Linked DNA regions of Pelodiscus sinensis. The protein of the gene in region 1 interacts with the protein of each later gene in a pairwise test. Links are inferred from orthologs where the notes say so. Each region holds a gene or a part of one and is shown on either strand. Other genes may lie near its edges.

Region 1 (15,543 bases):
ATTTCAGGGGCCTCTCCCCGCTTCCTCTCCCCACTTCCTGGTTTTCCCCACAGCCCAGCTGAACCACACGCCAGCTCCCACACCTTCCCAGCCCAGCTGAGCCACATGCTGGCTCCTGGCACTCCCCCGCAGCCCCGCTGAGCTGCAAGCCAACTCCTGAAGCCCAACTGAGTTGCAGGCCGGCTCCTGGCACTCCTCCACAGCCCCGCTGAGCTGCACGCCAACTCCAGCAGCCCAACTGAGCTGCAGGCCGGCTCCTGGCTCTCACCTTGCAGCCCAAATGAGCCACCAGCTTCCGGGTCTTCACTCCCCTGAAGCGTGCCGGACCATGGATGTTGCCGGACCAGAGAATCCCAGATTTTAGAGGTACAATCTGTACTTTAATAGCCATTGGCCAGAGACAGTAGGACTCTACAGTCATCCCAGGTTACTTCCCTATGTACTAAGCTAATGGTTATAAGAGGGACACCATCACTATTTCTGGTGTATGAACCTCGCCTGAAAAAATCAAAATGAGACACTTCAGAAATGTCAAAACGATTGCTTTTGACATTTCTGAAGGGTTTTTCCCCCTTTTTTTCCAATGCAACCAAACAATTCACCACAAAGTCAATACAAATTCACAAAAGGTTTCATTTGACCCAAATCTGCATTTTTTGGCTGAAAGAATTTTAGCTGAACAATTCACACACTTCTAGTCTGCAAAGAGCAGTGTCAGACAGAAATCAGACTGGTTTGCAGTGACAGACAAGCAATGGAGACATTAAACAATATTTTCATTTGAAACGTGCAGTTTTGACCCACCACATCCTTTTGCACATATATCCTTCACCAGAGCACAGTACATTGTTCACAACTATATCCATTGATATAAAATATCAAATATAAATACTGATTAGTTTCAATCAAGGCAGTGGGGATATTTATAAATCTAAGTTTTGCTTTCATTTTCCCCTCTTTTTCATCGGCTTCTAAATTAATAGGCCAAGCAGGCTACTTCACAGACTTCCAGTTTCCTGCTCTGCCAGTAAATCTAACTGTGCCCCAATAGTCAGGGATCGAGCACTAAGGTTTTATTCTGCATATTTACTTACTTCTTATCTTTTCATTGGCCAGAACACACACTGGGCCTGATCGTCTGCTGCTTTGTGGTCTTTTACACTCATGCGAAGATAAATTATAGTGTTTTACACCCACTGTTCAGTGATAAGAGACTGCACAAAGTACCAGGCAATGGAGAATCAGGCTTGTCTAACTGTACTGTGCTGTGGGCCACTGTCCACAAGGGGGTCAGTTCAGGCTACCGGTTTTCCCCCTTATATAAACACAAAAATGCATAGGCTTATCTCTGTTAAGTCGGCATCACAAACAGGAAACAAAACAAGAAAGCTCCAATTATCTGCAAGCTACAGTGAATTCCTATTTACAAATGACTTTCTGCAACCAAGTAATCTTCTGAACTTCTTTGACTTTCTGCTTCTGTGAAATATTCCCTCTTAACAAACTGCAGACATCTGTAATACATCCATTTTATTATACTCACTGTACTACATGGAAAGACATTTGAAAATTTAACATTGCAACCTCCAAGGCACAACTCTACTAACTGAATTTTTTCTAGCCTGATTTTATTCCAATTGTGTATTAGCAATAATTTTAACAAGCTCCACTGTATTGCTTTTAGGAACTACTATTATTACTCTATCCAAAGGAGACATTTACTACACAATGGCCAAATAATGTCTAGTTATCACCATTACAAGAGACGCTGACATGGGTTTATCTTCCCTCCCCCAGAAAAAATCAATTACAAACTTGCACCTTTTTCGAATCATCCATTCAGACTGGAAACCAAAAATCCAGTTTAATCTACTAAGGAATTTTCATAATAAGCATCTGGGGGAAACACTTCTGAACCTTAGGAGAGAATGCCATAGACACAAAGAAGTTTTTCTTAAAAAACCCTTTCAAGTCTGTTTTGTATAAAGTGGGAACATATAAATATAGCCTGATTCAAGGGCAACGGACTGGACATCATAAGGAAATGTATACATCAATCTATTAAAAACTAATATTTCTTATACAGAGATGGGGCAAAAATGTCATCAAGCAACATTTTCTGCTGTCTTCACAGTAACATGAAAATGTTTTCTATAGCAACATAAAATTAAAACTCACCGAGTGATATTTTAAACAAAAACATCAACAAACAAAAATATACAAAATATGAACTCTTTCAGTGAGCTGACTTTTGTTAATAGTCACAGCTGTGGCTGAAGAAACATTTTTTTCCCTATATGAACCTGTGTCCAATTGCCTGTTATTTTTTTTTTAAGTATGAGGAGAGATTTGAATTGAAATTTCTCATGCTTGTTCTCAGTCCAGAGGCTAATTTAATTTTTTAAATTCAATACAATTCTGTGACCCACTTTGGAGTTATCCTTGCATGAAAGAGATGCTTTTCAAGCTTTAAAAACAATTGTTTATGTGTTTTATTTGTGCTCAAATGATATAGGCAAAGGTTAATTTTCAAACCTGCTGAGACTTCTAGAAGAAATAGGATTTAGAAATAACCAAGTTACTGAAAAAATAACATTCTGCAATTTTGCAATATGCAGTCGCCCTCCCCCCACCTTTTAAAAAAACAACTCCAGAGCACAAAGAGATGGCCCTCCAGATATTCACACCCAATCATGCCTGCACCTATCCATGCATTGAGATTCTGTAAAGTGATTAAAATAAACCAGCCAAAAAAGGGTTGCCTGACTAGTTAATTTTATTCTTTTCCACTCAGGATCGTCCGAAATCTGGCCAGTTGTCTAGCCCCTTCTTAATCCCTTGAACTGCTTATAAAGATTTGATTGCATGATCAAATTGAACAATACATTCAAATTCTATGCACTCTGAGGCTGTGACCTGACAACCGAATAACCTGACATTTGCTCCCAAACAAGGGTGCTGGAACAATTTGGATAGTGCTACAAGTCATTGAACCAAACTGTAAACCCTGTATCTAATGGAAACCACTTCAAGCCAAGAGGTTCAGCAGACTCTGAGCACCCCTAGCACCAGCGCCTATGCTCCCAAAATGAATAAGAGAGGTGGTACTATTTGAATTTGGGATCATACATTTGAAATAAAGCTGCATCTGAACCTACGAGCTTAAGTAACAGATAAAAACAGGCATGTTGTAGGCAAGCACAATGTAGGACTGCTCAAACACCTCTGCCAATGCACCTCAACCCCGTATCGCAACAACCTGCTATTTCCAGCCATGGGTCGGTCTGTGTTATAGAGACTGTCTATAGAGATTGCTGTTTTCTTTAGGATGTGGACAAATATCCACGGTGAACTAAACATGGAGACTGAATTTGTGGCCTTAGCCACGGCTGAACCTACTTCTCCAGAGGTATTGCCCTATCCCACACACACTATGAATGAGCCCTTTTTAGTCTGTAACAAATAAAGCTGGTAATAAAACAATAAAAAGATCATTATGCATTTTTTTAAAAGCGTTTGTGTGTGCGTGGCAAGCATTAGAGTGAAAAAAATATTAGGAGAAATATCAGACAATCCGTCAGTAATGATGTGTGCTCTGGCTTTGATAAGCCCGTCAAACCTCTAACAAGGAATCTTTTAATTCTGCTGAAATTGATAGATTATATATCCTCTGCTAAAAATTCAAAGAACTGTTTTGCTGTGGACAGCAAGAAACCCAAGAAAGGAAATGATGGAATGAAGGTTCCCCAAGTAATACAGATTTCTCTCTCTTCCGTACAAGAAACAAGGATTGGAGCAAATCCACAAACTCTAGAATTAGAATTGAAACCCTAGAATCCTGTTTAAATAACTGCTTTTGCACAATATGGTTACTTTATCAAAAAATTCAGAGGTAACATGTATATAGATGAACAGTGTCTCAAAATCTAGGCACCTCTGTGATTCCTGGTAATTCACATTTAAAAATCAACTGATATTGTATCTTTGTAACCAATTTTACTATTACTTCCCCCCACTCCTGAATGTATATTCCCAGAAATATCAGCATTCATCGCTATTTGGAGTCAGGGATGGCCAGGGGAAGGATTTACACCTTCTATTCCCCTCAATCGTGTTCAAGCACATTTCCCTGCAGTGGTTACTGCAAACACAGCTCATTGTGATCTTGTATTTTTCTGAGCAAGCTGTTTGCTTTTTGCTTAGTTCATATCTTCAAACTTTAATATCCATGACTGGGCCGATTTCTACTTTCCCATTTCACCAGTGTAAATCCAGAGCAATCTCACTGACTACACTGGGGTTCTGCAGCATTTACGCTGGAGTAAGTGAGATCAAAGAATTTTGCCAACTTTCCTTTCATTTGAAAAATGTCATATGCAAGTTTTGTTTGTTTTAGGCTATTCTGCAGGGCTCATCATATTCAACAACAATTTTTTTAAGGAGTCATTTTGTTAAGAGCAGAGAGCACCAATGGTCTGCAGAAGGAGGGAACCATCTGGTCTCCTCCCCCCTCAAGAACATAAAGTGCAAGAAAAGAAGGAATTCCCACGTAAAGAGGAGGCGCTGTCTCTTTAAGACAGCCTTCTGCACGTAGACAGTTGCACTCTGAGCACTGCCTGGTCAGCCAAACAAAGCTGCAGGGAGGCTGCGCAGAAACCTTGAGCTAATGGTGATCACAGCACAGGTAGTGGCTGCAAGAAACAAACAAACAAACAAAAAGCAGCTGATCATAATGTAACTATGCATTGTAATAATGCTGCATGCGGAGCGACTCGCTCAGGCAGCTGCTGCACTGACCAGGGCAAAAATGCCTCAGACCGTCCGCAGAGGTCAAGTTCATTCGAAACATTTTAAAATGCATACAAAAGTCCCAGTATAATTGGAGCCACGTTTTCATCCCTTTCCCCCCACTCTCCCCTCATCAAGATCCCGGCGTTACACTGCAACTGGAGGCTGTATTTGCTCTCGCAGCAATAAAGAGATTGTAAATAAGTCCTGGGAGGGAATTAGTGTCATGCAAGGGAAGTCAGGATTTTGATTATTATTTTAAAATGCATGGGAAAACAGCGCACATTCATAAACAAACCAGGCGAAGACGCGTGAGTGCAGATGGTTCAGAAAGGCAGTGAGTGCTAAGGCGATGGTGTACGCGTGGCAGTGTTTATATGAGAGATCAAAACAGAGCCAAGCCCATACAGGGGAAAAATGGCGACTACTGGGAACTAAGCGACAGGATTAGTTATTATTTGTATACATCTATGAGCTGCACATAAACTTACACATATAGGAAAAGTTGCTAATTCACTGTAGAAAACGATGGTACAGCTTTTACCTGTTATTCTGGGATTTTCTGGCCAGGGTGCCTGCCTTTGTTTTCTTTCTGGAATAGTCACTATCGAAGGGTAACACTGATGCATAGCCATGTTCTGCTTCTAGGGACAAAGTCAGCATTAGTGGCAATATATTTTTCCATGCATTTTTTCCTCCTTTGCAGGAACGCTAGGGTAAAAAACAAAATGTTGGTTGATTTGTTTAGCTTTTATTCCGGATTTTTAAAAGAAACACAACAAAACGAAAAGTGCCAAAATAGGAGGATCATCTAAGTAAACAGTAAAACATGGCTAGATCATGCAAATCTTGAAACATTTTGACAAGGGAAAGGGGAAAACTGCAATACAATCGCAAACGGCAACACACAACAATGTAACATATATGAAAACTTCAACATACATACAATCCAAACCGATTCGAGCCATAGCTTGTTTGTTTAAAAAAATTGCAAGAAAACTGCATTTGTTCTGCCCCCTCTGCAGTGCATCTAACAAAAACATAGGGCACTTGTGCAGGTGAAGGAAATGTGGACTCGGAGAAAAGGGCGTCCGAATACCCACGCAACAAAGAGAGTTAAATGTTATAAGTGCCTGCTAGTCATTTTTTCTGAATACCTCTGTCTCTTCTTTCCAAATACTCAGCTGCTTCCAGAAGAATTAACAGAGAGTTCAGCTCCATTTTATATGTGTTCTTTGAGTTATCAAACTCTGTATCTGATTGTCTGCCTTTCAAACAGCTGAGGAAGGCAATAAGCATCAGAAACTGCACTGAGTTCACAGGCTGGGGACTTCCAAGTCCCCTATATAAACCACCTCTCTCAACCTACATTTGACACACAGGCGACAGGCGATTGACATAGCCAATCATGGACGGCATGTCTAAAAAGAGGCGGGCTTTAGCTCCAAAGTAGAACCAATCAGGAAAAACAAGCTCCCTCAGGTTTGGAAACAGAATGTTGACAGATCTGAATCTTCTCCCTGATAGGCCAGCCACTACAGTAACAATTTAGAAGCCGAAGCTTAGCAACAGCACGTGGTGGCCCGGCCCCCAGCCTACTGAGTGGCCGGCTTTATGCATATTAAATAGGCAGCAATTGCTGATTGGAGATGAGGAGTCTATGCAAATAAGCAGCTGAAACTAGCCAACAGTTTTGGAGAGGTGTGTCCTGTTTCAAGCAAGTGAAAGGGGAGGCGCTCAGGAAAGTGAAGGAGGAGGGGTCCATCTACCCGTACTGCTGGTGGATTTATTGTGTTGCTGTGAGGAAGAGAAGATCGGGCTGCAGTTCAGTTAGGGACTGGGGATAAACACTAGAGTGCTCGAATAGAAGCTCTACGGTCCCTTTCTTTCCTTCCCTAGCTGTAATCAGATGCATGACCTAAAAAAGAAAATGAATCCACCATGCAGGGAATGTTATATAGAGATAACTTTGCCTGACAAAAGATGATAAAGTACCTAAACTATGTAGTATAGCAGCACCAAATGCAGCCACCTCTGGGTGGAAGGGCTGCAGCAAGTAAGGCAAATGCATCTGGCAAAGGAGGTTTTGCTTTTACCTTACCAGGGTAAATTTCCTGCTCTTACAATAAAGGACCATAGGCTCTTCAAGCCAAAACTGTTCCAGTTTGGTGCTTTGATTTTTGGGTGACCAACTTCAGATATTCTGGATTTGATTTAAGTGTTCTCACAGAAGACACAGAACTGTTTTAAAAGTCTCACCCCAAAAACCCACCCATCTCTGTGCTCCAGAAAGATCTGAACCAATCCTGATGAAATCTGAATTTATGAGTCCACAGAGTCCCAATTTCAAAGTTGAAAGCCTTTTAGTGGCATCCACATGTGAAAACAACCCACTGTTTTTCAGAGTGGATGCTTACTCCAATAAATCAAATAGGCTTTGTTCTGTTGGTTATACTTTGTCCAAACTCTTCAGGTTATAAACTATTTTATAGCATCTTTCATCCCAATGGGCTTTTCAGATTTAATAACAGATACAGCAGTAAATAATAATTGATATGCACATAATAAGCAAATATATTTTGAGAACTGTTTTACCATTATATAAAATACACATCTGTAGCCAGCCCATGACTGGATGGCTGTTGCTGTCATAGGGGTGTTGCTAAATGGAAAGTAAAAACATCCTGTAGCAAGTAAAAGCTGAGCAGTAGCAAGAGTACATGCATTCTAACCACCCAGGATGCTTTATACTGTGCTTGTAGCATTTTGTACTTATCTAGTTTACCAAAAAAAGAAACCAGTACTGTGGAGCAGTTTACGGGGAAACATGAGTTTGCAATTTATTTACGCAACTGATGCTCCATCCTGCTTCTGCTTAGGATGACAGTAGGCATTTTCTTAACAGTGCATGGTTTAGGCATAATGTATATTTTATGCACTGCAACCAGACAGGCCTCCAGTACACAGGAGGCAAATGGCCTTTCTGCCATCTCCCTGCAAAGGCTAGGGGTGGGTTAGACGGTTTTAACACACTTTCTTTGGCAGGCTGACTACAGAAGTACTCCTTCCCTCCCCCCATCCTTTGAGGAAGATAGAATACCAGTGATCTGGTTGGTGCAATTTGTCTCTGACAGAAGCCAGTACCAGCTGCTTCAGAGGAAGGTGCAAGAAACCCTGCAGTAGGCAGTTAGGGTCCAAAGTCAAGTTAAGATACGCAACTTCAGCTACGTTAATTGCATAAGTGAAGTCGAAGTACCTTAACTCGATTTTTGGCACTGTCTACACAGCAGGAAGTCGAGGGAAGAACACTTTCTTTTGACTTCCCTTACTCCTCATAAAATGAGAGTTACAGAAGTCGGAGTAAGAAGCCTGTTATTTTTAAATTATTTCAAATTATTTCAAAATAACAGGCTCGCTGTTTAGACGCACACTCTGTTATTTCAAAATAACATGAGTTATTTCAAAATAAGCGTACAATGTAGACATAGCCTTAGAGAATAGCCTGCCTATATCAAAAGTTCTTCCTCGGCCAAAAGCATTTTAGGATGTATAGAAAAACAGATAATTTTCATTTTAGATTTAAATATTGCAGATTTTTTTCAGTCTAATTCTTTTTTGAAGGAATTAAGGAACATGCATCTGAAAAGTAACCTGTCATGGATAGACTAGGGCCTCATTACCTATTGTTTCTGTCCATTTGTGGATCTGAATATGGTACATCACATAACTTGTTAGCTAACGTGAAGGAGCACAAAGGGGGAAAAGTACATTAATAAACATTAAGTTAGTGGTACTTTCCTTCCCTTATCTTCAGGTAGGCTCTGATGCTGCACTGAGATCTCTGTAGGCACAATTTTGTGCTGCAAGGTATCCTGGGAAAGATGTTGGCTCATGCAGAATCCCATAAATCAGCTGGACTCCATATGGAGAAATGGCTTTTCTCAGGTGCAGGGGCCTGTCTATATAGCTCTTAGTGCAGAATTCATTCACTTTAACAAAAGCAGGACATATAAACAATTTTTTTAAAACAGACCATGATTTGATTTCATCACTTCTTCAGTCAAACAAGGCCAAATTCTGCATTTGTTGAAAAGTATTTATATGAGTAGTCTATTGACTTCAGTAAAACTATATGAATGATTAAGAACTATTTAGTGTAAGAAAAGGTGGTAGACATGGCCCGTCTTGTTTACCTTACGGCAAAAGAGAACATAAAAACATAGAACGGCCATATTGGTTCATGTAGCCCAGTATTCTGTCTGCCAAGAGTGGCCAATGCCACTCCCAGAGGCAGGGGCAGATGACGGTTTTGCGGGGCCCCGGGCAGCATACTTCCACGGGGCCCCCCCTTTGCCACGGTGCATGCGCAGTGACGCCATGCGCATGCGCAGCGGTGCCACGGCGCATGCGCGGGGCTTTCTGAAGTGCGGGGCCCGGGGCGGCCGCCCCGTTCGCCCTGCCGTATATCCGCCCCTGCCCAGAGGGAGGGAACATAACAGGTAATCATCAAGTGATCCCTCCTCTGTCATCCATTTCCAGACAAACAGAGACTAGGGACACCATTCCTCCCCATACTGGCTTATAGCCATTGATGGACCTAACCTCCATGAATCTATCTAGCTCTTTTTTGAACCCTGTTAAAGTCCTAGCCTTCACCACATCCTCTGGCAAGGAGTTCCACAGGTTGACTGTGTGCTGGGTGAAGAAAAACCTCCTTTTGTTTGTTTTAAACCTGCTGCTTATTAATTTCATTTAGTGATTCCTAGTTCTTATATTCTGGATACAAGTAAATAACTTTTCCTTATTCATATTTTCCACACCAGTCAAGATTTTATAGACCTCTATCATATCCTCCCTTAGTCTCCTCTTTTCTAAACTGAAAAATCCAAGTCTTTTTAATCCCTCTTCATATGGGACCACTCTAAACTAGGGATGTTAAGGACTAGTCTACTAGTTGATTTCCTCCCCCTCCCCAGCTGCCTCTATCAGCTGGAGGCAGCAAAGAGGGGGAAAGAGGTGGTACTTCAAAGTGGCAGCGCCACATAGCTGAGCCCAGGATCAGCTGTGTGGCACTGCTGCTTTGAAACACTGAGGTGGTGTTCGAAGGGGCAGTGCTGCACAGCTGATCCCCTGCTCAGCAGTGTAGCACTGTCCCTTTGAAACACTGCCTCGGCATTTGAAAGGAACAGTGTCGCACAGCTAAGCCGGGGATCAGCTGTGCAGTGCTGCCCCTTTGAAATGCCGAGGCGGCTTTCAAAGGGGCAGTGCCAGCACAGCTGATCCCCAGCTCAGTGGTGAAGTGCTGTCCACTTCTGCATTCCTCTTTTGAAACATACAAGAGCCTGTGCTCTTTGTACATTTCAAAGCTGGAACCCGCATGCAGCCCAGAGGCAGCGGGACTTCCCACTGGCCCGGGGTGCATGCGGAGTTCCCAGTAGGGGCTCTTGTACATTTCAAAGGAGGAATGCAGAAGTGCCTATTGACTAGTAAATTAACCATTACTTAACATCCTTACTTCAAACCCCTAATCATTTTTGTTGCCCTTTGCTGAACCTTTTCCAATGCCAATATATCTTTTTTGAGATGAGGTGACCACATCTGTGCAGTATTCATGATGTGGGTGTACCATGATTTTATATAGAGGCAATAAAATATTCTGTTTTATTCTCTATCCCTTTTTTAATGATTCCTAACATTCTGTTTGCTTTTTGGACTGCACTGCACACTGAGTGGATGTTTTCAGAGATTTATCCACAATGACGCCAAGATCTCTCCCTTGAGTAGTTCTAGCTAAAATAGTCCCCATCATATTGTATGTGTAGTTGGGGTTATTTTTCCATTGTGCATTACTTTACATTTCTCAACATTAAATTTCATTTGCTATTTTGTTGCCCAATCACTTAGTTTGTTGAGAACTTTTTGAATCTCTTCACAATCTGCTTTGGTCTTAACTGTCTTGAGGCTTATCAGTGCAACAAAAAAGAGATGGCAAATAAATTATAAGCTGCCTGTTTTTATTTTTATTTTTTTAAAAAAAGCCATTCAGATAAACTGAGATGTTAAATCTCTTTCCAGGATTCATTTATGCTAAATATGCAAAGACAGTAGGCCCAGTTCTTTAGTTGGTGTATACTGTGTCACCAGATATACCACCAGTGTAAAATAACTATAAAATGCTACTGAAATGGAGATACCGCATTTGACCACCATTCTATATAGGTGTAAGTGGTGACAACATGAGAAGCAGTCAGGCTGCCCTATAATTCTGATTTGGTAGCATTTTACACCAGCTTTGAACAGGTGTAAATGACTCCACTAATACCATGCTGCAGCAAATATGGTCCATTGATTGGTGGGGACATAGAATTGCTCAAAGACTTACCACTCATAGCCTGAGCCACACGGATACTTCTGCCGTTGAACTCATGGGGCTGCCACAGAATCAGGTTCTTGCTGAAGTTAGTTGTTTTAAGATAATTGAGCATTGTTTTATGTTCTTCCTCCCCAGGGCCCGTTACTCCAAATTTACCCTTTAAATATCCCCCGCGGCATTTGCATTTACATGGCTGCCGCTTTTTTCCGGCTTGAAAGTAGGAATAAGAGATCCTCTGGAAAAGGGCTTATTTTCCGGAGAATCACGTCTAGACTGGCGCTTTTCTCCGGCTTATCCCCAAGCCGGAAAAAAGCGGCAGCCATGTAAATGCAAATGCCGCGGGGGATATTTAAATCCCCCGTGGATTTTGCTATTCAGATGTGTCTAATCTGCATCCCTTTTCCGGAAAAGGGGTGCAGTATAGACACAGCCTTGGTGTGTTTCTGCCAGATTCCCTGCCGGGGGAGTGGTAGGCAGTGCTGCTGCTCACAGGACCCTGGGTCGAGACCTGGTGGAGTAGGGTGGACCCAGGTTCCCCTACCAGGATGTTAGCCCCAACATTATCAACCCTAGCCAGTGTGCCATGTTCCCTGGACTAGAGGGCTTCTTACTGACTTAGGCCATTAGGTGACACGATCTGGGGGACAAGGTCATGTGTGGGCTCGGGGTTCCCTGGAGACTGATTATTTCGTGAACTGTAGAAATGGCTAGCTACCTTGTGGCCAATCAGGTAGCATCCCACTCAGGAAGAGGCTCCCACCTGTGATGAGGAGCACATATGCCACCACAATGACAAAAAGCAGATGATTTCTATACATGGCTAAATTACCTTTATCAACTGCATTTAGCATATAAAGGGGATTCCTAAATATTTTTTACACATACTATCCTAGGAAATGCAGAATACATGATTTTGCTTAAGCAAGTTATGAGCATGGGTGTGCATGTACACATGGAAGTCATGTTGATTTTGTGTGGACTAAAGATTTCATCAGAATCATTTTGGCAACCACATGTTACTCATGATCAGTGCAGTCATGAATGTTCAGGTCCTCCCACATGAATACTGATAAACCTTTCACCACATTTATATTTTTGTAAGATGCAAGACAATAATATAAATGTTATAGGTGTGATGCTTCCCTTGTTGTAGCTCCACTCAAGTAGTGGAGATGCACAGGCATAAAATTGATATACATCTCAGAAGAATCAGACCCAATGACTTAGTCATATACAGAAAAAGAAACATGTACTTAAAACCTTTCCTATATTGGGGCCCTTACATACTGCTTTTCCATCTTCAACTTCTGTTCTATGCACTGGCAACAGGAATGACAAGGGCTTAAGAAGCAGCTGGTCTATAGTGATGGAGCTATCGTTTAGGGCAAAATTTAAGCGACTTTTTATGTAGAAGCAGAAAGTAGCTCTGGCTGCCTCTTTTCTATCCAGTATGATTCATAGTCTTATTGGTAGTATTTAAAGTCTTAAATAACATAGCCCCATTCTGAAGGGATCTTTATTTGCCTTATGTCCTGATACAGCATTTGAAAGAGTATGGTTGGTACTACTTACAATCCTGAGTTAAAACCTTTCAAGGACTGTAGAGGTAAGGTTTCTAACTCTGGAACACTTTTATTCATAGTTCACTACCTGCATCCTTTTGTACTCTGTCCTTTGCCGTAGTTTCAGGATGTGTCTCGTTGTAGCTAGATGCTATTTATCTATTTTTGTTTTCTTTCCCTGGCATTTCCCCATGTCAATACCTGAGCTTTGCTGTGACTTTGGGGCAGTCCCTCTGGGGTTTTTGGTTTGAGGTATTGTTAAGGTATTGTAATTCTCCAATAAAGAATACAGGTCTCTCTCCACACAGGAAAAGGAGTCTGCCTACAGGGATGGAAGGACAATTTTCTCCCTGTATGTGGTCAGATATCTGACATTTAATTTCACATGTTACTTACGGTACAAGTTACTACGTTGGTTTGCTCATCTGTAAAACTAAGACACAGAGAGGTTAAGGAAAACAACAGTGGTGACTGATTTTAAGTGCCAAAATTGAGACATGCTTGGTCTGATATACAGAGATGCTGAGCACCCACAGCTCCTATTCAATTCACTGCCTTCAGAAATCAGGCCCAAAGTGTCTCAGGTTTGGCAACCCCAAATTAACGGCCACTTTCAAAACCATAGGCCTCTGGGGCTTTCTAGGGTGAGTCAGCCAGGTGCAGGACTTGGAGTTAATGTGAATAGCCCTTTCCCTGCCCTGATGTTTTATAAAATTTGGCTTGTGAAAATGAATATGCATAACTCAAAGATGCTTTAAATAATCTCATGTAATCTACAATCTGCTGGCTCTATTTTTTTTTACGCGTGTCATTTTTTTTACGCGTGTCACAGTAAGAGCTTGTCTCTGGTTTGAAGCTTATACCTGAAATAAACTGTTTAAGGTAAGAATTTGCATATAACAAGTTTCTTCATGTATTAGAACTAGCTATGTATCTTCTATTTGTTTAAATTAAGTAACTTACATTGATCTGTCTTCATTTGCAATCACTTAAACACTTGTTTACTATCAGGCCTACTGTAAATAATTATGGTGGGGGAGAGCAACCAGCGTGCATCTCTCTCTCCCATTGATAAAGGGAGCTTACCTGATGAGCTTTCCCTGTATAAAAGTTTTACACACACACAGACATGAATTCTAATCCTCATTATGGTTCTCTTATTTAAATGAATGGAAAAACTTCCATTAATGTTTATGATGCAGGATCTAGTCCTACACGCCTGAATCAATACGCATTCAGGTCAGTGTGAACCTTTCCACTGCCTTCAGTGGGCTGTGCATCTGATAGTATGAGGCTAGCTTACTGCATGCACTTGGGTAGCTCTGCCACTGACTTGATGTTTGGCCTGCTCAAGTCATGTGTAGATCTCTAGTCTTTGTGTTCCCCTTCTCTATAATAGGAACAACAATTACCTACTGCACAGGGCTGGTGTGGGACTAAATTAATGTCTATAAAGTGCTTTTGATAATTTTACACTTGAAAATTTAACCTGAAAATATTAGTACTTAAAATATTTAAGTACCAGAGCCCCGATCACTCTCATTGCTGTCAGAGAAGGTTTAGGAACAATGCCTACTTCTTTGTAGACCTGAAAGCACTTTACATGAGAAACCAGTATCATTATCCCCATTCCACAGATAGAACTGAGGTACAGAGACTTGCCCCAGGTTCACACTGTAGTGTCAGGATTAGAACCTAGGTTCCTGAGCCCTCACAGATGCTCTAACTACTAAGCCATACTATTACAGGAACCTGTGTTATGGCAATCGGGCCTGATTCTCTGTTGTTCTATGGTCTCCTTCAGCATTGAAAAGGGGACTTAAATCACACTTATACCCACTTTAAAGTCCCCTCTAAGTATAATGTCAGGCTCCTTTACGTTGCCAGAGCAAAGAGACAGGGACTTAGAGCGGCTGAGAATCAGCCCCATTGTGTATGTATATTTTTGCAATAACTACTGTTTGAGCCAGCTGAAGTATTAGAAGCAATTACTTATTTCTTAATAGGTCATGTCTGAGATCAGGTGGTCTTGTTAGTTATTTTTAATTTTGTTAAGGCATATTACAGATTGTAAGTTGCTTACACAACTGTTACAACAACTGTTTTGTATAAAATGTGCTTACTCCTCTCCAGGATGCTCTTTGTTGCAGTCAGGGATATGCCTTACTGAAATTAAAGATTCTGACAATTCTTAGCCAGGCTGTGCACAAATAAAAAAACCCAGAGGTGAATCCAGTTCAGCACTACCAAGTGGAATGTTCCATTTTAATAGAAAAGGAAGGTGAGAGTGGGGGTTTTGATCAATCTTAAAAAAAGATTTAAAGTACCATTATAGTCAGAAAGCAGAAAACCATTTTCTTACTCATTATATTTGCATCCTGTGTAGCTGTGAGTCATCTCTTCTGCATTTACTGGAAAAGCTTTTTTATTACTGTCAACACTGAAAGTTAGTATAGGTATGGAAGAGCAAGCTTGAGTCTACTGTATCGTGTACATCAACAATCATCAAACTGCAGAATATTTGCCTCCAATGAGGAAATAAGAGACAAAGAACACAGCTTGATTTGCAGATCTTACAGGGAGTTTTCAGCACTGGCCATCTGGACAATCATCTTTTGGCTTGTAAACTTGCACTGAGAGAGGAAAAAAATAGGTGGAACCTTGCAATGCCATTTTTACAGTCATTTTTCTGACTCGCTTAATATATTAACAGGTTTTGTTAAATTATAATACATTTACATATTTATTTGTGGCTAGAGAATGAAAGTGTACTCTTACATTTCTTACTACCTCCAGTGGGGAATATTTATGACCAGTGTA
Region 2 (15,200 bases), on another chromosome or scaffold:
CCTTGCAGGGGCTGCCAGCCGGGCACAGCCAGAGAGGAAGGAAACCTCCCAACCCCAGTGCCTGGCACCCACCAGCCAAACCCTGGCTCAGACGTGAGGCTGGCTGGCCTGGGCTCTGCTTGGCCTTTAAGAGTCGCGGTCACCGGACGAGCCGTCCCTTGCAACGCGCCCCTCCGTGGAGTCTGTGCACTGCCCACCTGGTCTCTCCACCCCCCCGCATTGGGACAGATGGAGCGCTCCCATCGCCCCCACCAGCAGCAGAAGGCACGGCCCAACACAGCCCAGGCGGGGGGGGCCGGCCTACCTAGGAAGCAGCTGAACCCTAACCCCGCGTCAGGTCATCTAATGACACATGGGGGATAGGCACAAAGCTGCCCCCTTCCAGGTCTCCCACGGGCCAGCGCCGGGCCGAACACGCAGGCAGCAATCTGGACTACGTGCGACGAGCCGCTAGTGCCCACGCCCCAGCTCCAGAGGAACACGCACCGAGAGCTCTCCTGCTGCCCGCTCGGCGCCCCGGACACGGCTGCTCTGCAAACCCACCAGAGGCAGCCAGGAGACACCCTGCCCCAATCGGAGCAGGGCAAGCCAGGGCCTGATCCCAGGAGGGGCAGCTGCCACAAGGCGGCTTTTAAAAATCTCCCTTGAAATGGTCCCCCCCAAACCGCGCGGGTGCTTTCAAGGGACCATCTCTCGGCGACTGCGCCCCTCGGCACGGTGCATCGGGGGGCACGTGCGCTAGGCCATCAATGCTGACCAAGGCAGCTCTTTTCCGGCAGCTTGAATCTCGGGGTATCACGGCGCCCCATCCCCCCCTCTGGGCAAGGTGCACGTTCCACACACAGATCAATTCGCAAGGGAGCGGAAGGAACCACGCACCGCTCGGCGGGGGGATCGCTCTTCTCCAGGCCAACAACCCAAGCCAATGCTCACGGGGGGCTTTTCCACCACCTGGCAAAGGGAAGACAAAGGGACTTCCAAAGTCATTGGCTCCCAAGACTTCTCTAAGGAAGCCTTTGTCTTAAAAAATAAATAAATAAATAAAGCAGCCACCCCGCACTTCCCACACCAGCCACTCTCAGCAAGTTGTCTGGAGCAAGCACCGAGTTTTGTAGACGCTCCAACTCGCTCCAAGCGGTGAAAGCTAATTTACTGGGGGCATTTCAGTCCAGCTGGGCAGTGCAAACAGAGCATTTCACGGCCTGCTTCTCCCCCACTAGCAGGAGGCCAACGGGTTTAGGGTTCAACCGCCGCGGAGGAAGATTTGCAACAAGAGACATTTTCACTGCAATTCCGAGCGATTCATAAACATGGCCACGCAAATTCGTGGCTTCAAGTAGTCGCTTCCTCTCCACTGCCACCCTCTGGCGGAGACCTGAAATCCTTCCTGATTCTTAAAAAAAAGCAGCCACCACTTCCGTCTGAGCCATGTTTACTTACGGTTCTTACCAGAAACACCCAAGATCACGGAAACCGAAAGGTTTGAAAAAGTGTCCAGGACTTTCAGTTTCTTTTCTTCCAGTACCTGACAGCTGCGTGTACGTAGCCACTTTCACTGTTCCTGCTGCTTGTGTGAGTCGTTCACACAGCCAGGGGGAGAGTATTTACGAAACCATATCTATCGGCAAGGGCCTTCCAAGCCGATCACACAGCTAGGACTTGCCTAGACGTAGGCCTCCTGGAGAGGAGAGCACACACAATTTCAAGCCAGCCAGCAAGATTCAATTCGATCATCCAGGGGTGAACAGAAACAGCCCAGACCTATTCGAAGAGCAGCCGAGGACGGTCTTTTTACACAGGGTAGACGTGTTTGGCCAACCTGCACCATTCCCCAAAGGATTCAAGGAGCAAGCGATTTATTACAATCTCACAGGCCTAGGCAAGGCCTGGTACAGGGATAAGCATCAATAGGGGATCTCAAACTATCTAACCGTCTAGGCAGACAACGACACTCAAGGCGAGCCAAGGAATCGGACGGGTAGCCACAAGGCCCAGCGATCTACAACCTGGCAAGCCGAGCTAAGTCCCACGAGCTGCTTCTTGCAGAGCAGGATTTACAGACTAGACCCCACAGAAAACCCGACCAGGGACACCTCAGACAGCAACGCAGCTCGGGAGGCCAAAAACCAGCCCAGCTAAATGCATTTATCAAAAAGCCAGCCAGGCCCCCAAGACAGAGCCAGCGTCACCCATTCATATTTACTGTCCCAGAAGATCTCAGCCCAGTAATTCCTGCACACTCCATGCTACTCTCCCCAGAGAAAGGGGTCTCTCCCCCAAACCCACACAGCTCCTGGTGTGCGAGACCCCCCGTCACTCCTCCGCAGCCAACCTGCGCTGCCCAGTCGCCCCCAGGCAGGGCCGAGCCCCGCACACAGGGCTTGCAGCACAATCCTCCCCACACATCCAGACTAGGGCCCCCCTCCAATTCCTCACACCCTGGTCTAGATCCTGCACATGCCCAAGCTAGAACCTCTCCACGTGCCCAGCCTAGATCCTCCCCAATTTCCCCCACACATGTCCAGCCGAGACCCGCCCCACGTGTACACACTCAGCCAGCCCCCACATACCACAAGCACCTTCAGCTGGCCTAGATCCCCCTCCCGCATGCCTGGCTGGCCTAGATCCCTCACTCCCCCTGCCCACAAGCCCAGCCTAGATCCCCTCTTCTATCACGGCTATGTCTAGCCAAGATCTCTTCCACATACACAGTGTAGATTCCCTACACACTTTGGAATGAGTGTGTACAGTAGGGGTGGGGTCAGATTCCCCTCCAAATCCTCCTTCATGCACACCCAGCTTACATCCCCCTCTGTTCACCCCCCCAACCTAGCACAGCAGGCTAACAGTCCTCTCCACAAACCCCCACTTATCCCCTGGATCTCTCACACTTTCTCCCCCCAGAAAGTCTCCTCTGCCTGCCCCAATCTCACACACCACCAACCCAAACACACTGGGCCTAAACCCTCCTTCCCACAATATCTTGAATCCCCACTTCACCTGTGTCTGCTACAGATGCGCTTTTCCACCTCCCCCGCCTGTCACCACCCCACATCTCCCGGATCTAGAAAACCCCCCTTCCCAATCCCACCATGCCTGACCTACAGTCCCATCCTACCTCACGTGCCCCTTCCGAATCCCACTCCATACCTATAACACACGAGCCTCACAGGTCCTCCCATGGCCTGGACCCCAGCCCCTGATCCCCCCTACACACTTCCCTGCCTGCATCACCCCAGCTTAGCTCGCCCTGGATCCCAGATCCCCCCTACACATCTCCCTGCCTGCATCGCCTGATACTGGCTCACCCGGGATCCCAGATCCCCCCTACACATCTCCCTGCCTGCAACACCTGATACCAGCTCGCCCTGGAACGCAGATCCCCCCCTACACATCTCCCTGCTGCATTGCCTGATACCAACTCGCCCTGGATCGCAGATCCCCCTACACATCTCCCTTCCTGCATCACCTGATACCGGCTCGCCCTGGATCCCGGATCCCCCTACACATCTCCCTGCCTGCATCGCCTGATACCGGCTCGCCCTGAATCCCAGATCCCCCCTACACATCGCCTGATACCGGCTCGCCCTGGATCCCAGATCCCCCCTACACATCGCCTGATACGGACTTGCCCTGGATCCAAGATCCCCCTACACATCGCCTGATACTGACTCGCCCTGGATCCCAGATCCCCCCTACACATCGCCTGATACTGACTCGCCCTGGATCCTAGATCCCCCTACACATCTCCCTTCCTGCATCGCCTGATACTGGCTCGCCTTGGATCCCAGATCCCCCCTACACATCGCCTGATACTGGCTCGCCCTGGATCCTAGATCCCCCTACACATCTCCCTTCCTGCATTGCCTGATACCGGCTCGCCCTGGATCCCAGATCCCCCTACACATCTCCCTGCCTGCATCGCCTGATACTGGCTCTCCTGGATCCCAGATCCCCCCTACACATCGCCTGATACCGGCTCACCCGGGATCCCAGATCCCCCCTACACATCGCCTGATACCGGCTCTCCTGGGTCCCAGATCCCCCTACACATCGCCTGATACCGGCTCGCCCTGGATCCCAGATCCCCCTACACATCTCCCTTCCTGCATCGCCTGATACTGGCTCGCCCTGGATCCCGGATCCCCCTACACATCTCCCTGCCTGCATCACCTGATACCGGCTCACCCTGGATCCCAGATCTCCCTACACATCTCCCTGCCTGCATCGCCTGATACCAGCTCGCCCTGGATCCCGGATCCCCCTACACATCTCCCTGCCTGCATCACCTGATACCGGCTCACCCTGGATCCCAGATCTCCCTACACATCTCCCTGCCTGCATCGCCTGATACCAACTCGCCCTGGATCCCAGATCTCCCTACACATCTCCCTGCCTGCATCGCCTGATACCAGCTCGCCCTGGATCCCGGATCCCCCTACACATCTCCCTTCCTGCATCGCCTGATACCAACTCGCCCTGGATCCCAGATCTCCCTACACATCTCCCTGCCTGCATCGCCTGATACCAGCTCGCCCTGGATCCCGGATCCCCCTACACATCTCCCTTCCTGCATCGCCTGATACCAACTCGCCCTGGATCCCAGATCTCCCTACACATCTCCCTGCCTGCATCGCCTGATACCAGCTCGCCCTGGATCCCGGATCCCCCTACACATCTCCCTGCCTGCATCGCCTGATACCAGCTCGCCCTGGATCCCGGATCCCCCTACACATCTCCCTGCCTGCATCGCCTGATACCGGCTCTCCTGGGTCCTGGATCCCCCTACACATCTCCCTGCCTGCATCGCCTGATACCAACTCGCCCTGGATCCCAGATCTCCCTACACATCTCCCTGCCTGCATCGCCTGATACCAGCTCGCCCTGGATCCCGGATCCCCCTACACATCTCCCTTCCTGCATCGCCTGATACCAACTCGCCCTGGATCCCAGATCTCCCTACACATCTCCCTGCCTGCATCGCCTGATACCGGCTCGCCCTGGGTCCCAGATCCCCCTACACATCGCCTGATACCGGCTCTCCTGGATCCCAGATCCCCTCTACACATCTCCCTGCCTGCATCGCCTGATACCGGCTCTCCTGGGTCCCGGATCCGCCTACACATCTCCCTGCCTGCATCGCCTGATACCGGCTCTCCTGGGTCCCGGACCCCCCTACACATCTCCCTGCCTGCATCGCCTGATACCGGCTCTCCTGGGTCCCGGATCCCCCTACACATCTCCCTGCCTGCATCGCCTGATACCGGCTCGCCTGGGTCCCGGATCCCCCTACACATCTCCCTTCCTGCATCGCCTGATACCAACTCGCCCTGGATCCCAGATCTCCCTACACATCTCCCTGCCTGCATCGCCTGATACCAGCTCGCCCTGGATCCCGGATCCCCCTACACATCTCCCTTCCTGCATCGCCTGATACCAACTCGCCCTGGATCCCAGATCTCCCTACACATCTCCCTGCCTGCATCGCCTGATACCAGCTCGCCCTGGATCCCGGATCCCCCTACACATCTCCCTGCCTGCATCGCCTGATACCAGCTCGCCTGGGTCCCGGATCCCCCTACACATCTCCCTGCCTGCATCGCCTGATACCGGCTCTCCTGGGTCCCGGATCCCCCTACACATCTCCCTTCCTGCATCGCCTGATACCGGCTCGCCTGGGTCCCGGATCCCCCTACACATCTCCCTGCCTGCATCGCCTGATACCGGCTCTCCTGGGTCCCGGATCCCCCTACACATCTCCCTGCCTGCATCGCCTGATACCGGCTCGCCTGGGTCCCGGATCCCCCTACACATCTCCCTGCCTGCATCGCCTGATACCGGCTCGCCTGGATCCCGGACCCCCCTACACATCGCCTGATACCGGCTCGCCCTGGATCCCAGATCCCCCTACACATCGCCTGATACCGGCTCTCCTGGGTCCCGGACCCCCCTGCACATCGCCTGATACCGGCTCTCCTGGGTCCCGGACCCCCCTGCACATCGCCTGATACCGGCTCTCCTGGGTCCCGGACCCCCCTGCACATCGCCTGATACCGGCTCTCCTGGGTCCCGGACCCCCCTACACATCGCCTGATACCGGCTCTCCTGGGTCCCGGACCACCCTACACATCGCCTGATACCGGCTCTCCTGGGTCCCGGATCCCCCTACACATCGCCTGATACCGGCTCTCCTGGGTCCCGGACCCCCCTACACATCGCCTGATACCGGCTCGCCTGGGTCCCGGATCCCCCTGCACATCGCCTGATACTGGCTCTCCTGGGTCCCGGATCCCCCTGCACATCGCCTGATACCGGCTCTCCTGGGTCCCGGACCCCCCTACACATCGCCTGATACCGGCTCGCCTGGGTCCCGGATCCCCCTACACATCGCCTGATACCGGCTCTCCTGGGTCCCGGACCCCCCTGCACATCGCCTGATACCGGCTCTCCTGGGTCCCGGATCCCCCTACACATCGCCTGATACCGGCTCGCCTGGGTCCCGGATCCCCCTACACATCGCCTGATACCGGCTCTCCTGGGTCCCGGACCCCCCTACCCATCGCCTGATACCGGCTCTCATGGGTCCCGGATCCCCCTACACATCGCCTGATACCGGCTCGCCTGGGTCCCGGACCCCCCTACACATCGCCTGATACCGGCTCTCCTGGGTCCCGGATCCCCCTGCACATCGCCTGATACCGGCTCTCCTGGGTCCCGGACCCCCCTGCACATCGCCTGATACCGGCTCTCCTGGGTCCCGGACCCCCCTGCACATCGCCTGATACCGGCTCTCCTGGGTCCCGGACCCCCCTGCACATCGCCTGATACCGGCTCTCCTGGGTCCCGGACCCCCCTGCACATCGCCTGATACCGGCTCTCCTGGGTCCCGGATCCCCCTACACATCGCCTGATACCGGCTCTCCTGGGTCCCGGACCCCCCTGCACATCGCCTGATACCGGCTCTCCTGGGTCCCGGACCCCCCTACACATCGCCTGATACCGGCTCTCCTGGGTCCCGGACCCCCCTACACATCGCCTGATACCGGCTCTCCTGGGTCCCGGACCCCCCTGCACATCGCCTGATACCGGCTCTCATGGGTCCCGGACCCCCCTGCACATCGCCTGATACCGGCTCGCCTGGGTCCCGGACCCCCCTGCACATCGCCTGATACCGGCTCTCCTGGGTCCCGGATCCCCCTGCACATCGCCTGATACCGGCTCGCCTGGGTCCCGGACCCCCCTACACATCGCCTGATACCGGCTCTCATGGGTCCCGGACCCCCCTGCACATCGCCTGATACCGGCTCTCCTGGGTCCCGGATCCCCCTGCACATCGCCTGATACCGGCTCTCCTGGGTCCCGGACCCCCCTACACATCGCCTGATACCGGCTCTCATGGGTCCCGGACCCCCCTGCACATCGCCTGATACCGGCTCGCCTGGGTCCCGGACCCCCCTACACATCGCCTGATACCGGCTCTCCTGGGTCCCGGATCCCCCTGCACATCGCCTGATACCGGCTCTGCTGGGTCCCGGACCCCCCTGCACATCGCCTGATACCGGCTCTCCTGGGTCCCGGACCCCCCTGCACATCGCCTGATACCGGCTCTCCTGGGTCCCGGACCCCCCTACACATCGCCTGATACCGGCTCTCCTGGGTCCCGGACCCCCCTGCACATCGCCTGATACCGGCTCTCCTGGGTCCCGGACCCCCCTGCACATCGCCTGATACCGGCTCTCCTGGGTCCCGGACCCCCCTGCACATCGCCTGATACCGGCTCGCCTGGGTCCCGGACCCCCCTGCACATCGCCTGATACCGGCTCTCCTGGGTCCCGGACCCCCCTGCACATCGCCTGATACCGGCTCGCCTGGGTCCCGGACCCCCCTACACATCGCCTGATACCGGCTCTCCTGGGTCCCGGACCCCCCTACACATCGCCTGATACCGGCTCTGCTGGGTCCCGGACCCCCCTACACATCGCCTGATACCGGCTCGCCTGGGTCCCGGACCCCCCTACACATCGCCTGATACCGGCTCTCCTGGGTCCCGGATCCCCCTGCACATCGCCTGATACCGGCTCTGCTGGGTCCCGGACCCCCCTGCACATCGCCTGATACCGGCTCTCCTGGGTCCCGGACCCCCCTGCACATCGCCTGATACCGGCTCTCCTGGGTCCCGGACCCCCCTACACATCGCCTGATACCGGCTCTCCTGGGTCCCGGACCCCCCTGCACATCGCCTGATACCGGCTCTCCTGGGTCCCGGACCCCCCTGCACATCGCCTGATACCGGCTCTCCTGGGTCCCGGACCCCCCTGCACATCGCCTGATACCGGCTCGCCTGGGTCCCGGACCCCCCTGCACATCGCCTGATACCGGCTCTCCTGGGTCCCGGACCCCCCTGCACATCGCCTGATACCGGCTCGCCTGGGTCCCGGACCCCCCTACACATCGCCTGATACCGGCTCTCCTGGGTCCCGGACCCCCCTACACATCGCCTGATACCGGCTCTGCTGGGTCCCGGACCCCCCTACTCATCTCCCTGCCTGGACGCCAGCCCCGGCCGCTCACCCCCGTCCGCCCGGGATCACATGAGCCCAGCGCCAGCTGGGTCCGCTCCCCGGCCCGCCCGCGGCGCACTCGGCCTGCCCCCCCGGCGCTGGCGCTCGCGGGCCGGGCGGGGCGCGAAGGCAGCACGTACCGCAGACTGAAACCTCGGCTGCTCGTCCTGCAATAAGAGAGAGACAGAGACACTCGCGTTACTGGCGGGCGGCCGGCGGGCCGGGGGGGGCAGGGGCGCCACTCACGTCGCTCTCCACCTCGATGTCATCGTTGTCGCTCATGCTGCCGGGCCTCCGGGCGCGCCGAGCCGAGCCGAGCCGGGCGGGGCGCCACAACAACAGCCCGCACCGCGCAGCCGCCTCCCGCAGCCCCAGCCGCGCCGCCGCCGCCGCTGCCTGCTCCACCGTGCGCCGCCCCCCCCTCTCTCCCGGCCACGTGACCGCCAGCGCCGCCTCCCGCCGCGGGGCCTGCTGGGGGTTGGAGTCCGCCGCGCCGCGGCCGCCGAGCGGGAGGCCGGCGCCGCGCACTACAGCCCCCGGCGGGCCCCGCGCGCGGCCCCGCAGCCCCCGGCGCCGGCGCAGAGGCGGCGGCGCGGCGCACGCCGGGAGTTGTAGTCTCGGGCGAGGAGGAAGGGACTCGGCGGGGAAGAGGACACGTGGATGGGAGGCGGGGACTGCGCGGCTCCCCACCCTGCTCAGCACCTCCCGGGGGGGGGAGGGGCGGTGCTCAGGGCTGCTGCCCTACCTAGGGGGCGCGGAGCCCTCGCTGGGTGCCCCAGCCCCCCCCACCCTGCACAGCAATGGGGGTCTCCCAGGCGCCTGCCCACCAGGGGTCGGGTGGCCTGGCCAGGCAGCTGGTTTTTGGCTGGAGCGCCCGGCGGAAAGGCCCAGCCACCTGGGCGGTTACAAGTCGGGTGGGTAGCAGGGAGGGGGCCCAGCCCCCTTGGCTCCACCCAGCTCCCAGACCCCTGCGGCTCCTAGGCACGGGAAGGTGCGGTCCACAGCCTCTGCAGCTCCCAGTGGTCCCAGTTCCCGGCCAATGGGAGCGGCACAGCTGTCACTTGGCAACAGTTCCTGGCCAATGGGAGCTGCGGAGCTGTCACTAGTGGGTGGGGGGGCAGCGTGTGGAGTGCTGGCTCTGCAGCTCCCATTGGCTAGGAGCCATGACCACTGGAAGCTGCAGGGACAGCACTTTCGAGTGCTACTTCCTAGGAGCTGCAGCAGATGCTGCCAGGTCCAAATACCCCCGACTACCTCCCATATCCCAGCCCGGAGTCTCCTCCTGTACCCAAACTCCTTCCCAGAGCCCACGACCCTCACTCCCCCGCCATACCACAATCCTCTGTCCAAGTCCTGAGCCTCTTCCTGCATCCCGAGCCTCTCATCCCGTCACACCCAGAGCCTGCACCCTCAGCAGAGGCCCCTACCACACCTAGGGGGCACAGTATCTACATGAGGGGAGGGCCGTGGCCAAGGCTCTCTGCACCTAGAGGGCATAGACCCCACCAACTTCATAAGGAGGGCCCTCACACAACCCACGTGGATGGACAATGGCCAAGGCCTCTCCCCCCACTAAAGACATGCCCCGAATAGTGGCCCCTGACTTCAGACCCCACAATGCCCACACTGGGGTGGCTCTGCCCAGTGTCCCCAAAGACTGAACTGGGGGGGGATCCTGCCCAGGATTTATTTGGGGGCAGTTTTCTCCCCTTTTAGGCAGGAAGACACAATTGATTATCACAACCTTGGAATCTATGAATTAGTGAACTAGCAAGATTTAGACGGAGCCTGAATCCGTAGAGAGGCCAAGCCCGGACTGTCGGGGCAGTGTCCACAGTGAAAGAGAAAAGAGAAGTTGGCTTGGGGGGACGTCAGGCGCTCAGTTTGGGCCACGTTGATCCCTGGATCTCCATGTGAAGGTGTCGGAAAGATGGGCCCAGGTGCTGGTTTGGATAAAAAGGGGTAGCTCGTAAGGCAGGCGGGACAGTAGTGTGTGGGTGACTTTAGTATTTAGGACTGCAGTGCTGTGGGTGGGTCTGATGGCAGGACACAAATAAGGACAGCAAATCTATTTGCACTGGGTCAGCTGTGGAGGAGTCCTTTGAGAGGAGCTGGGTGGAGCCCTCCTCTGAATGGTGAATTCAAGGCCCCTTCATTTGTTTTGAAGTATGGAAGCGGGAGCATCCCTCAAATTCACAGCCAGTGCTGGGACCCAGCAGCAGGACTGGAGGAGAGGGAAAGTATGAGAGAGGCACAAATGAAGTAGGGGAGGCTCACTCAAGGAAGCCTGTGGAGACTCAAGGACTGAGGCTGAGCAAACTCCTCCATGCTGTGCACTGGATTTCAAACGTAGGGTTGCCACGTTGTCTGGGATTGGCCCAGACAGTCCTGTATTTGTGGCCTCTGTCTGATAAAAAAAAAAACAGAAAATACTGCACATGTAAAATGTCCGGTATTTTCTGTTTTTCTTGGATGGAAGGCTGCTTGGGACATTCCTCCCCTGCCGCATTTGGTGGGGGCAGGGGAGTGTGGGGATTTAAAGGTGCAGTGACTGGGCGGGGGGAGGTTGTGTGGTTTTTATTTTTTTTCCTGCCATGTTTGGTATTTTTTGTGAAAGTATCTGGCAACCCTCTGCCAATAACCCTGTCGTGTGTGTGTGTGTGTGTGTGTGTGTGTGTGTGTGTGTGTGTGTGTGTGTGTGTGTGTGTGTGTGTGTGTGTGTGTGTGAGAGAGAGAGAGAGAGAGAGAGTGTGTGTGTGTGTGTGAGAGAGTGAGTGAGAGAGAGAGAGAGAGAGAGAGATACAGTGGAAGCAAAATACTTATTCCCACAACCCAAACAATAATATCATCAAATCACAACAAAGAGCAAGACATGCTAGCTTAAACCTCATCACTTCAAGTTCCAATAGAATTAGACAAACTTAAAAAACAACAAAATAGTCCTGCAGCACCTGAAAGACTAACAAAACATGTAGATTGGATCATGAGCTTTCGTGGGCACAACCCACTTCTTCAGATGAAGTTGTGCCCACGAAAGCTCAGGATCTCATCTACATGTTTTGTTAGTCTTTCAGGTGCTGCCAGATTCTTTGTTGTTGTTTAAGTCTTTCCATTTACAGACTAACTTGGCTCCCCCTCTGAAGCTTTAGAAGTAGACAGTGACACTACTTGTAAAACATTTTTAAATACAGGAGAAATGCAGGAAAGTGGCTTTTCACTTACATAACGTGCTGGGTGGACCTACCTATTGATCAGGATCTTGGCCCAGTCTGGCTCAAAAGATGCACCTCAGGTGAGCTGTTGAGTCAGTTTCTTCCTTTTGTTTTTAACCTTGTCAAAGTTGAAAATCCCAGCGTGCATGGGTAGGCTGTTATGAATCATGACCACAACAGAACACTAATCTTACGTAACAGTGGATAGTCTTTGAAAACACTTATCCAAAATGATGACACATTTCAACGTCTGGTGGCATATTCTGAGTGTGTGATCACAGGTGCATTGCAGCAACTTTTTCTTGATCAGGAATCACATTTAGCTCCGTTACTGAGCCAGGATTTCCAAAAGCAGAAGGATCTTTCACCCAACGCGTTTCATTTCAATTTTCAAACCCTTCTGCTGGGAAACAGGTGACAAAAATTGTCAGAACAGTGAGATGTCACGATGTGACACTTTCCATTTCATTCGCTTTTTCTTCACTGATGCTGTTTTCCTCTGTGTGTCGTAACAGAGCTGGGAACATGTCATAGCTTGGGTGATTGTTTTTCAGGTGTGTTTGCCCCAGTGCTAATGTCTTTTGGAATGTGTGTATCTGCTCCCAGTTTCAAAATAAATAATTGCCTCCTCCTTGTATAGTCACATTCAGTTTGGTTAAAATTGAGAAAATGTCAGTGAGAGAGGACAACTTTATTAACCAACTGTCATCATGAAACACATTTGCCAAGTTTGTTTCTCTCCCCCAAAAAATATATAGCATGACTACACCATCTTTTTCCCTCCAAATACAATAAGAAATATTTATTGAACACTTGCCTTTTGTGCAAGTTTATTTATAACTAACAGTAATACCCGATGTCGCCCGGGGAAAATATAGTAAAAGGTGTGATGAATGAACTACGTCAATTATATTGGCCTCTCTACGGATTCAGGCTCCGTCTAAATCTTGCCAGTTCACTAATTCATTGAACTACGTCAATTATAGCATATTTGATTGGAAATACTTTTCTCTTAGGGTATGTCTACACTACCCCGCTAGTTCGAACTAGCGGGGTAATGTAGGCATACTGCACTTGCAAATGAAGCCCGGGATTTGAATTTCCCGGGCTTCATTTGCATAAACTGGGCGCCGCCATTTTTAAATCCCTGCTCGTTTGAACCCCGTGCAGCGCGGCTACACGCGGCATGAACTAGGTAGTTCGGACTAGGCTTCCTAGTCCGAACTACCGTTACTCCTCATTCCACGAGGATTTCGGAATATAACCAATCCTGTTATTTAAGTTAGGAAATCAGTAGTATCCATGCAAAATGTTGTATTTCTAGCTCTTACCGTTTCTGAGATGTTTTGGGACAAACAAACAAACACTTTCTAAAATATTTATAAGATTCTACCATTTCCATCTAGTAATGGACCAATACCATTGTTAGGATTCTTTTTGTTCCTAATGTACTTTTAAAATCTCCTTCTTTTTTTGTCCCGAACTCTCGCCCATAAAGGTCTCTTTGTGTCCCTTGGCTTCCCTTATCCATTTTCTACAATTCCTAGTTTCTGATTGTAGTCATTACTATCCACTTTTTTTCTTCCATCTGTTATATACCATTTTTATAGTTGCCTTCATTTCCTTTCTAAATCAGGTCATTTTTAAATAATGTGGTTTTCTTCCTTAATTTTGGCTTTTGGGGCATCTAGTAAAATGTTGTCATACAATTATCATTCATGTTTTTCTGATTAAAATCTTCCTCCCAGCTGATTTCACTTATAATTGTTTTCAGGTTTGTGAAACTGGCCCTTTTAAGGAAACTAATGTGTGTGTGTGTATATATATATATATATATATATATATATATATACACACACACACAGGGCTCGCCAAGCGGCAGCGAGCCCTACTCACCAGCTATGTGGAATCGCACGCTACGCATGTGCAGACCGCGCTGCGCATGTGCTGACCGTGCTACGCAGCCGCACCAAGCTAAAATTGTCCTGCCCTAATTGTCGAGCCCTGTATATATATATATGGTATGGACTTTATTCTGTTCACAGGTCACGATCCTAAGTTATCATTCATTTTAATTTTTGTCAGTTCCTCTGGTGTCTGTCAAGACAACATATAATGTAGAGGGGCCTGTGTTGGATGCAACAATTGGTGAGTTAGGAAACTGTTATCTATATTATTTAGACATTTCAAGGATGTTTTAGTACTGGCAGCATGAGATTTCCAGTGTATGATCATGCAACCTTTTTTCCTACAATTATTGATAGGTGTGTAAGGAGCTGATCGTGCTAGTCCTCAAGAGTGATTTGGTAGCAGACGCTAATACCCAGTCTTCAATCTGTTGGTGCCCAAAATAGCCAGAGCCCGCACCCCCTTCCCCACTCAAACTCCCTCCCCCCACTTGCCTAAGGCTCTGGGTGAGAATTTGGGTGCTGGGTGCAGGCTCTGGGCTAGGGCAAGGCACTGGGGTACAGGCTCTGGGAGGAAGTTGGGCTATTGGGGTGCGTGAGGACTGCAGGGGTGCAGACTCTGGGTGAGAATGTGGGTGCAGGGGGGGTGAGGGGTCAGGCTCTGGGAGGGAATGTGGGTATGTGAGAGGGTTGGGATGCCAGGCTTACCTGGGGCACCGCCCTCTGGCAATGGCTCCAGATGGTTAGAGTCTCCATACTCCCCCCTACCCCCCGGTTTGTCCCTGGCCCTGCCTGCTGCCCCCAGGGCCATTTAAAATGGTCTGCGGGGTCCTGCGGCCACCAGTGGCCCCCCAGCACTAGCATCCCTGCAGCCCCAGGGTGGTGGTCTCCATGTGCTGCCCCCACAGGACTCTGCAGTGCACAGAGGCAGCCCCCCTTCCCTGTGGGGCCAGGGGAGAGATGAAATCCCCAGGCCGGGGGGGGGGGGGGCATTAAATTGCATGGAGGCAGTAGGTGGGGCCAGGGGAGACCCAGTCCCGAACTTTGCTGGACCTGGGCCCCCAGGTACTACAGGCTCACATAAACTCACAGCCTATGCCCATCGTGTGAGCTTTATCGGTTAGGACCCATAAGCATTCAAGGTCCTTTTCTTCCATGTTATTGGTGCCTTGAAAACAGGACATGCCAGGTTTGACACAGAGGGTCCCTCCTCCCCCCTTTTGCTCACTGAATCCTTCCTAAATAGGCTATCACCATTGATTTTAACACCCAGCTGTGAGACTCATCCCTCTGGGTCTCAGTAGGGTTCCCATCAGCGGCCCACTTAGGCAGCCCCCAGGAGAGAGTCCAGTGCTGCCCAGCTGATTAGCAGAGTGCCCACAGCTGGCAGTGTGTGTCCTCTGGTGGTGCACATCTGCACATATCTTGGTGCACAGAACAAAATTTATTCTGCATACAAATGGAAAAAAAAATTAGAGGAAACAGTGGGTTTCAGTAGCACCGAGATCAAATTTATTCCA

The links.
Region 2: the proteins of MXD4 (region 1) and MAX interact in a two-hybrid assay, tested with the Homo sapiens proteins (2 studies listed by BioGRID). The link is inferred for Pelodiscus sinensis from reciprocal best matches to the Homo sapiens genes MXD4 and MAX.

What each region holds. Positions count from the first base shown.
Region 1 is NC_134715.1:117,916,056-117,931,598, reverse strand, and holds the start of MXD4 (max dimerization protein 4), read right to left. Parts: upstream 6,150-15,543; 5' UTR 6,088-6,149; coding exon 5,946-6,087; intron 5,908-5,945; exon of another isoform or gene 5,794-5,907; coding exon of another isoform or gene 5,731-5,793; intron 5,500-5,730; coding exon of another isoform or gene 5,433-5,499; coding exon 5,333-5,432; intron 1-5,332. UniProt on the Homo sapiens protein: Transcriptional repressor. Binds with MAX to form a sequence-specific DNA-binding protein complex which recognizes the core sequence 5'-CAC[GA]TG-3'.
Region 2 is NC_134714.1:129,398,054-129,413,253, forward strand, and holds the start of MAX (protein max), read right to left. Parts: upstream 8,997-15,200; 5' UTR 8,844-8,996; coding exon 8,808-8,843; intron 8,729-8,807; coding exon 8,702-8,728; intron 1-8,701. UniProt on the Homo sapiens protein: Transcription regulator. Forms a sequence-specific DNA-binding protein complex with MYC or MAD which recognizes the core sequence 5'-CAC[GA]TG-3'. The MYC:MAX complex is a transcriptional activator, whereas the MAD:MAX complex is a repressor.